Zea mays: one gene and its partner. The main gene of each other region encodes a partner of the protein of the gene in region 2 in a complex. Links are inferred from orthologs where the notes say so. Each region holds a gene or a part of one and is shown on either strand. Other genes may lie near its edges.

The links.
Region 1: actin-related protein 2 (region 2) and Actin-related protein 2/3 complex subunit 2A share a complex: the UniProt entries of both Arabidopsis thaliana proteins name them as parts of the arp2/3 complex. The link is inferred for Zea mays from reciprocal best matches to the Arabidopsis thaliana genes ARP2 and DIS2.

The regions. Positions count from the first base shown.
Region 1 is NC_050097.1:239,327,657-239,331,483, forward strand, and holds part of Actin-related protein 2/3 complex subunit 2A, read right to left. Parts: intron 3,405-3,827; coding exon 3,272-3,404; intron 3,197-3,271; coding exon 3,105-3,196; intron 1,849-3,104; coding exon 1,792-1,848; intron 1-1,791. UniProt on the Arabidopsis thaliana protein: Functions as actin-binding component of the Arp2/3 complex which is involved in regulation of actin polymerization and together with an activating nucleation-promoting factor (NPF) mediates the formation of branched actin networks.
Region 2 is NC_050102.1:183,446,119-183,450,377, reverse strand, and holds the start of actin-related protein 2, read left to right. Parts: upstream 1-1,303; 5' UTR 1,304-1,458; coding exon 1,459-1,500; intron 1,501-2,318; coding exon 2,319-2,429; intron 2,430-2,516; coding exon 2,517-2,651; intron 2,652-2,790; coding exon 2,791-2,862; intron 2,863-2,951; coding exon 2,952-3,030; intron 3,031-3,142; coding exon 3,143-3,192; intron 3,193-3,781; coding exon 3,782-3,885; intron 3,886-3,970; coding exon 3,971-4,039; intron 4,040-4,114; coding exon 4,115-4,178; intron 4,179-4,249; coding exon 4,250-4,259. UniProt on the Arabidopsis thaliana protein: Functions as ATP-binding component of the Arp2/3 complex which is involved in regulation of actin polymerization and together with an activating nucleation-promoting factor (NPF) mediates the formation of branched actin networks.

The DNA of each region.
Region 1 (3,827 bases), on a different chromosome or scaffold from region 2:
ATTCCTGTCTCTATCCTGAAATATAAGGCATCAAGCATTCATAATTTGTCCAAAATTATAAGAGATTATAGGTGAAATACCACCGCCTCCACCCACACATACAAAAACATTCTAGTTTAAAAAGGCAGCATTAATGCCTATAACCAACTCAAATATGGTAATCCCAATCTCTCTCTACAATTAAAAGAGGATTATATGCGTCATTTACTTTATCTCACAAACTGTCAATTCCTAGGATACCCTATTTTCTCAAGGGATCATCTTAAATGAAAAGAGCTATTATAATATGGGGGCACTAGGCCCGAATATATACAGCGATACAGGATAGAGACCCCCTATACAACAAGGATTCTATATATGAGGACGAACGCGATAAGGACACATGCATAGCCATCCAACACCTCCCCTCGAACTCAAGGTGGATCATCATCAAACACAGTTTGGAGAGATAAAACCTATGCTGAGATCTGGTCTACACCTTTGTGAAAAAATAAACCAACTAAAGCTCTGAAGTCACATAGCGAAGATCAATCATGTTGCATAATCCAGCTGGGTTTATTCGTTTCCTTCTTAGTTGATTGGTTGGTTTCATCTCTTAGCTATTTGATAGCTGATTGATTAGTTTTTTCTTAGCTGGTTGATCATTGATTAGTTCCCTTTCTTAGCTAATTGATAGCTGATGGATAGTTTCCTTTTGACCCTTTGTAATTGTGTGTATCATAGTGGTGTAGTTTGGCAACGCCAAAAAAACTCACTAAAGCGGTGGAGCCTTAGTTAGCCTAAACCTGACCAAGGCTGAGTTGATGGCACATGTTGTGTCGCGGCCCCAACTCTCTGGTAGTCGAAGCTCGAGCGACAATCGGGCAGAAATCGTGAGCATGATGTGGTGGCAGCATAACGGGTATTGGGCTCATGAATGTCGCAAGAAGATGGACGAACAGACCCAGACTGATCACACCAGGGAGGAGCCCACTGAAGGGACGTTGATTTTGGGCCCTGCCTCCATGGCCCAAATTGAAGAGGTGAGCAAAAGGGGGCACCAGTGCATCCATATTCCCCAAATCCATCAACCGTCGGCGAATATCGCATCACTTGGAGCTAGAGATGGACTCACCTCCAGATCGAGGACGGAGGCAGCACACGGTGGGTGTTCGGCGAGGAGCCAGAGCATGTGGCGCTCGTAGCTCTGGCGTCCGCCAATAGGGGTGGTAATGGATCGCGATCCAAATGCTTCTTCACAAAATGGTAGGGTACTAAATAAATTTTAGTTCAAAAATGAATAGAAATAGAGCCCGATCCTAATCCGATCCGGTCCTTAAATCTTATAGTGTAAAATTTAGAGCCCATTGTCACCCCTATCCGCCAATGACACCAGGTCGCCTCCCACGAAGACAGCCCCACTCTGGCGTCGGAGATCCACCTCGACGAGAACCAAATGTTTGTTCATCTCGAGAGATCCTTACACCAGCGCAACAAACCACAATACGGAGGAGCACATGACCTTCTATGAGCTCGACACCAGCGGCTGCGGGACCGTACGGTTCGACGACGGCTCCATGGTTGATAGCAATAGGTGCTAGTTGGCGTCTACTTCATTGCCCCGTTGATAGCAAACATCGCTAGCCTAGGGTAGATCGATAAGGACGGTTGTACGGTCCTAGTTAACAACGACGTTCCTGGGATCTAAGACCAATGCTGATGGTTGTTGGTCAAGTTGCAGTGTTCAACAATCATATGAAGTACAAGATCTCTAGAATGACCTGATCCAATAAAAGAATGTTTCAAGTCTACCTGGATCAGCGACTCAACCCTGCGCCTCATCCTGGTATGCATGAATCCTTCAGAACACTGATACAAGAAACCATGGCAATTGAGAACTTGCAAAATTATAAGTAACAAATTAGTGTAAAACTAATATCAAAAGTTCATAGAAGGCTAATAGTTACTATGACAGAAATTGCTTCCAAAAGAAAATAAAAATCATAAGAGACAACAATAACAACGAAGGTATCGGTTTGTTTATATTAATAATATAAGTAATGTGTTGACACATGATAATCTATCGGTTTGTTTATATTAATAATATAAGTAATGTGTTGACACATGATAATGTATGCTCCTCTGCATATCAGTAGTAGTGCAAGATGGAGTTGTTAGAACAAAGATTTTAGACTGATTGATTTACATATTTGGGGTTTGTATGTTGGGACTTGGGTTTGCACATAGAACACAATAAGAGCCGATGCTAGTCCAGAGATGCAGAGTATTGAATGCTTACTAGTAAGCAGCCAAGAACCAATACAAAGCACAAGCAACATAAATGTCAAATGTTCCCAAATATAGTGTTGTACAAACATTGAGATGGCTATGTATGGTTAGAAACTACTCCCAATTTCTCCCAAGATAGCCATCTGCAAGTACAGATTGATCCAGGAGTAGGTTGTATCACCACTCAAGCCAGCTGTTAATATGGGTTATGGGTCAAAGAAGAGTCCTTTGGTTCTATTATTCTGAATCAGAAGCTAGTGTACGCTGTGAAAATACACTGCACCCCAAAATTTCCTTTCTCTGCTCCCATCTGTAACAAATTTTCCCAGATTATTTGCCCAAATCCCAGGACTTCTCCAAAAAAATTGTATTTTGGGTATATTCGAGGCATGGTAAGAATGTCACATATTACTTGGCACTAGTCAAATACACGTGCATGTGCATTGTTATGGCTTCTATATATCATATAGATAGACTTTCTTTTAATAAAACATAAAAATATGTGTGTTATGTTGGTAAGGTTGGTGTGGTTGTAGAGTCAACAACCAAATTTCAAACCTCAGTTATGTACAATTTTACCTTATTTTTGCATAAAGTAGGAAGGGTGACGCACAACGACCGTGGAAACCAGGAAACCGGTGCTTTATAGAGTAGAGATAAACAACGATAATGTCATTTGAAGCAAACAAATCAATTCAGTTTCAGTCAAATCCAGCCATCCATATGAAATGTTCTGATTCGCCATGATTAGTGAATTCCCAGATATTCAAGGGAAGTTGCTGGTAGTAACTCAGTAATTCCATATAAACAAATGGCACCAGATTAAAGGGCCTTACCTTTACATGATAGCTTACATAAGCATGAAATGTCAACAAATTCCAAACTGTTCTATCTAGCTTTTTACCCTCAACATGCCGAGGGTAAACAACTGCACAAATTAAAAGACTGTGAGGCAAAATAGTTTCATGGAGGAACAAGGGACACTAGGAAAAGCGCAAATTACCGAAAGTAACAAAGCCAGCATTTGCATTTAGTGCATCAGCAGATACTCCTTTTAACTCAAGAGGTGGTACCGGAGACCACATACAAGAAGGAACATTATTAAGTGCAGCTGTTCGTCTTGCCTCCACAAATTCCTAAATTTAAACAAGAAGCAAGCAAGATGTTCACATCGATTGTGTCATAATGAAAGGGACCTCAGCAGAATAGTAATGCCAAGGCTTTAGCAGGGTAGCTATGCCAACAAAAAAGTTTTTTTTCTCAAACACATAGGATAACTACATTTCATTAATAAAAACACCTAAACACTACGCACCCCCTTCATCCATCCCAACCTACCCCACACAAACCACTAGGCCCACATGGACACCACACACGTTGAAAGATCAGAACAGAAGCACCATTGCAGTTCACTTTGGTGGTTTAGGGGTGCATGATTTGGTGCGGTTGGGATGGGCTTTGCGTATTCGCTGGCTGTGGTTGTGGAAGACCGATGTCACAAAGCCTTGGGCCAGGCTTCCTATTCAGATCCCAAGACAAGCTCGTGCTTTGTTTCATAT
Region 2 (4,259 bases):
CTTGGATGGGGTCCAGATCCCTCCGAGTAAGGTCCGGGCCACAGCGAGGTCCTGGGACAGGGGATACCCTGGCGTAAGCAAGGGTCCGGTACTGACACGTGTCCAGGCCTTATCCTGTGCGCTTGCGCTCCCCGCTCAGGCGGAGACCCGATGCTGCCACGTGACTTGTTGCCCGTGACATAAGCCAGCGGGCGGAGCCTGACGTAAGGCCTCTAGGCCACGCGGTCTCTGCATTTATTGCGGAGAGGACGCGCCGCCTGTCCACCCTGCTGACAGGCGATGTGCCCCCTCAGCATTTAATGCGTCCTGTCCACTCCGCTAGCAGGTCGCGCGAGGGCCATCCTGCAGACGGCGCGTCTGTCCAGTCCATTGTCAAACAGTGCGCCCGTGCTGCGCGACGCACTGTGTCCATCATCCCTTATACGAGAAGCTTCCCCTGCACGCCGATGCTATGCAGATCTCAGATGTCAATGCGCGAGAAGATTGCTCCAGCAGCGAACATTAGTAGCTCCAAGCACTATATCCGTTATGTTCCTGGGCCCACATGTCGGGGCTCAGCACCCTTGTACATGCATCCCTTTAGCTATAAAAGGGGAGTCATGCAACGTTACAACACAAGCTCTCTTAGACCAAACTTAGACAGAGACTCTCAGCTTTCAAGCTTCCACAACAATCCAACACACACTGGAGTAGGGTATTACGCTCCGACGACCCGAACCACTATAAATCCTCGTGTGTTCATGTGCTCGGTGATCGCTTAGCAAGACAGGCAAAACGTTTAAGCCCCTTCTTCATCTTAGGATTTAGGGCGGATACATTCTGCCACCCGGCCGAAGAATTCCCTCTCCAACAGTAGAGATGTAATGTTGTAATGTAATGTTATTATCTACTGTCTTTTGTATACCATTGAGCTAGGAATACAAATGTAAGACCAATTTACATGTATAATTTGTTTGAGACTAATTGTACATTCATTAAGTACCATATGAATGCTGTTTACATTTATATTTATATTCATTATCATTTATATTAACGTGGACGAAAAAATGTAGGCTAATAGAATTATATTTTGTGACCGCGAGTATTTTGTAACTAGACAACGATTAACACAAGAGAAGCAACATTTTTTTTGGGGAAATTTGGATCATACCATTAAAAGATCACCACTTTGGATCCATACCATTACTATCTCACTTACATGTGGGTCCACATGAGTCAATGACATGTGAGATCCATGGTATATATCTAAAGTTTGGATCTTTTAATGATATAGATCCAATTGTTCTTTTTTTTTGAGAGGGAGGAACACAAGAGAAGCACTAACGACACGAGTAGTACTGATCAGGGTCAGGGACCGTCCGTAGTTTCAGTCCCGCTCCCGCAGTCTGGTTCGTCTTCTCTTCTCCCCACCTGTCTCCACAATTCCCCATAGGAGGAGGGGGAGGTAGAGAAGCGCGAATGGAGAGCAGGAACGTAGTGGTGTGCGACAATGGTACCGGGGTAAGCCCTCCCCTCCCTGATCCACACCATCTCCGCTTCCTTCCTAGACTAGATCCGCCGCCCGTTCTTACTCTGGGTCACGCCCGAGTTTCTCGCGTACCACCCCGACGCAATCCGCTGCTGCTTCGGCCACCGACTCGGAGGAGCCGGTTCGTGAGTGGACCGCCGGTGGATGGATTCGGCTGGACGGTGGCTGGGAGCCATGGATGACTCGAAGCGAGACACGGTTGTTTGCTGGGGCATCGGTCGCCGCAGTTTGGTAGTTCAGGGGCATTGGATTAGCTTGAAACCACATTTGCTGACGCAGTCGGGAATTGTTATTCACAAACAATGGCGTGGGGTGCTCGAAAAGTTGGAAAAAATTGCTATTTTAGCCCTTCTAACGTGGGCTCTCTGTATATTCAAAATTTGCTGGTCAAAAATGTCTAGGTCTTGTGTTGACAGCGTATTTGGGTTAAGTTCCATCCCCCCCCCCCCCCCCCCCCCCCCAATTTTTTGTTCAGTTGAAAACCATAAATTATTTCATGAATGTCAGACATATAGTCTGTAGAACAATGCAGTTACTAGATAGATATATTGATGCACAGAAGAAATGTCGATTCAGCCTGAGGCTTTTAGTACAAGCTAAATTTTCTGTGTACATGTGATATCCTGCTGAAAATTTGGTGACCTTAATCTGCTCTCAGCTTTCGCCAGTATTATAATACATTATACGGACAGATGCGAGGCTTGTTGAGTCTCCGGTATGAGTAAACGACAATGAGCCAGATTACAAAAGTGGATGATTCATTCTCTAATTCCACACCTTCTGGTCGCAGTATGTGAAGTGTGGCTTTGCTGGTGAGAACTTCCCTACATCTGTGTTCCCTTGTGTTGTCGGACGACCGCTACTTCGCTATGAGGAGTCACTTCAGGAACAAGAATTGACGGTCTGAAACTATTTTTGTTACCATCTTTCTGGAACTTACTTCATGTTCATGGGTACATCTTATAATAGGTGCTTATGTTCGTTGCAGGATATTGTTGTTGGAGCAGCTTGTGCTGACTTGAGACATCAACTTGATGTATCATATCCTGTTACCAATGGCATTGTTCAAAATTGGGATGACATGGGCCATATCTGGGATCATGCCTTCTACAGTGAGCTCAAGGTATATCTATATTGCTGGTATGCTTTGCCCTTACTTGTTATGCCATACCCTTTCTCCAAAAAGTTGATATCCTTAATTATATATCCTAAGTCTCCCAGCTCTTGGTAAACTGAGACCTTTCTTTTTTTTCTTCATTTAGGTTGATCCATCTGAGTGTAAAATCCTACTGACAGATCCACCACTCAATCCCGTGAAAAACCGAGAAAAAATGGTATGCCATTTCCTTTTATCAATTTGTCACATACTGCCACATCTGTAGTTTCTAACATCAATGCGTAAAAAATTGAATCCCATGAACAGATCGAGACAATGTTCGAGAAATATAACTTTGCTGGGGTCTTCATCCAGATCCAAGCAGTTCTTTCACTGTATGCTCAAGGTCATCTCTCCCTCCTGACCATGTGCTCCTGTCTGGGGCTTTGTGCATCCACACAAGCACATACAAGATCACATTAACACTCCACTCTACATGTATTTATTATATGTTTCAGGCTTGCTAACTGGACTTGTGATAGATTCTGGTGATGGTGTTACTCATGTGGTATGTCAATACCGTTCTTCCCTATATTTGACTAAGTATTATGGTTTGAGAGGGGGGGGGGGGGGGTAATTTCTAATCATCTTCGTGTAACCAGCTCAAATATCATGGTAGCATCATATTAACCCAGAACACTGTAGGATGGAATTTTAAATAGTGCGCCAGTCAATGATTCAGTACGCTGTATGAAAGCCTTTAAGAATTTGGGATCTTTACATTTATAAATTAGAGATCAATCACATATGAATAATAGCAAAAAGATATAACACTATCTAATTGACCATTGTATATTATCTGGTTTTTAAACTATGTTTGAATCCTCTGCATCTCATGCTCTTTTTTGTTTTCAGCGTGTCCTTTTGATGTTTTTACATCATTTTCTTTTAAAAAAACTACAACCATGCAATTTTGCTCATGTTGCAAAACCTATTTCCATTTGGGATATTAAGTTTGGACCAGAGATCAACCTTCTTTATCCCTGTGCGACAAGTGTCTACTTTAACAAATACTTTGATATGAAGCTTTTAATTTTAACTAATTTATTCCACTTCCAATCTTAAATTTGTACCTACCATCTTTTTCATGCATTCAGGTGCCTGTAGTTGATGGATACTCTTATCCACATCTGACAAAGAGAATGAATGTAGCTGGAAGGCATATAACATCTTATCTTGTTGACCTACTCTCAAGGAGAGGGTAATACCTATCTTTCTCTGAAGATTTCTTCTGCAGTTGCTGCTACATTATTTTTATAATTCAATTAATTCTCCCACTTTAAAAGGTATGCTATGAATAAATCTGCTGACTTTGAGACTGTCAGAGAAATAAAAGAGAAGCTATGTTATATAAGGTAAGTTGTTTTATTTTCTTAATTATTGTTTCTGTCTTGCTGGATATCTAGTCATGACAGTTAAATTATGTACAGTTATGATTACAAACGAGAATACCAGCTAGGACTTGAGACCACAATCCTTGTGAAAAGTTACACTGTAAGTATGTTGTCCTGCTTCCATTTCTTCCCTGTACCTTTTCTTACTGTAAGCTTAGTTTTTGTGATCAGCTTCCAGATG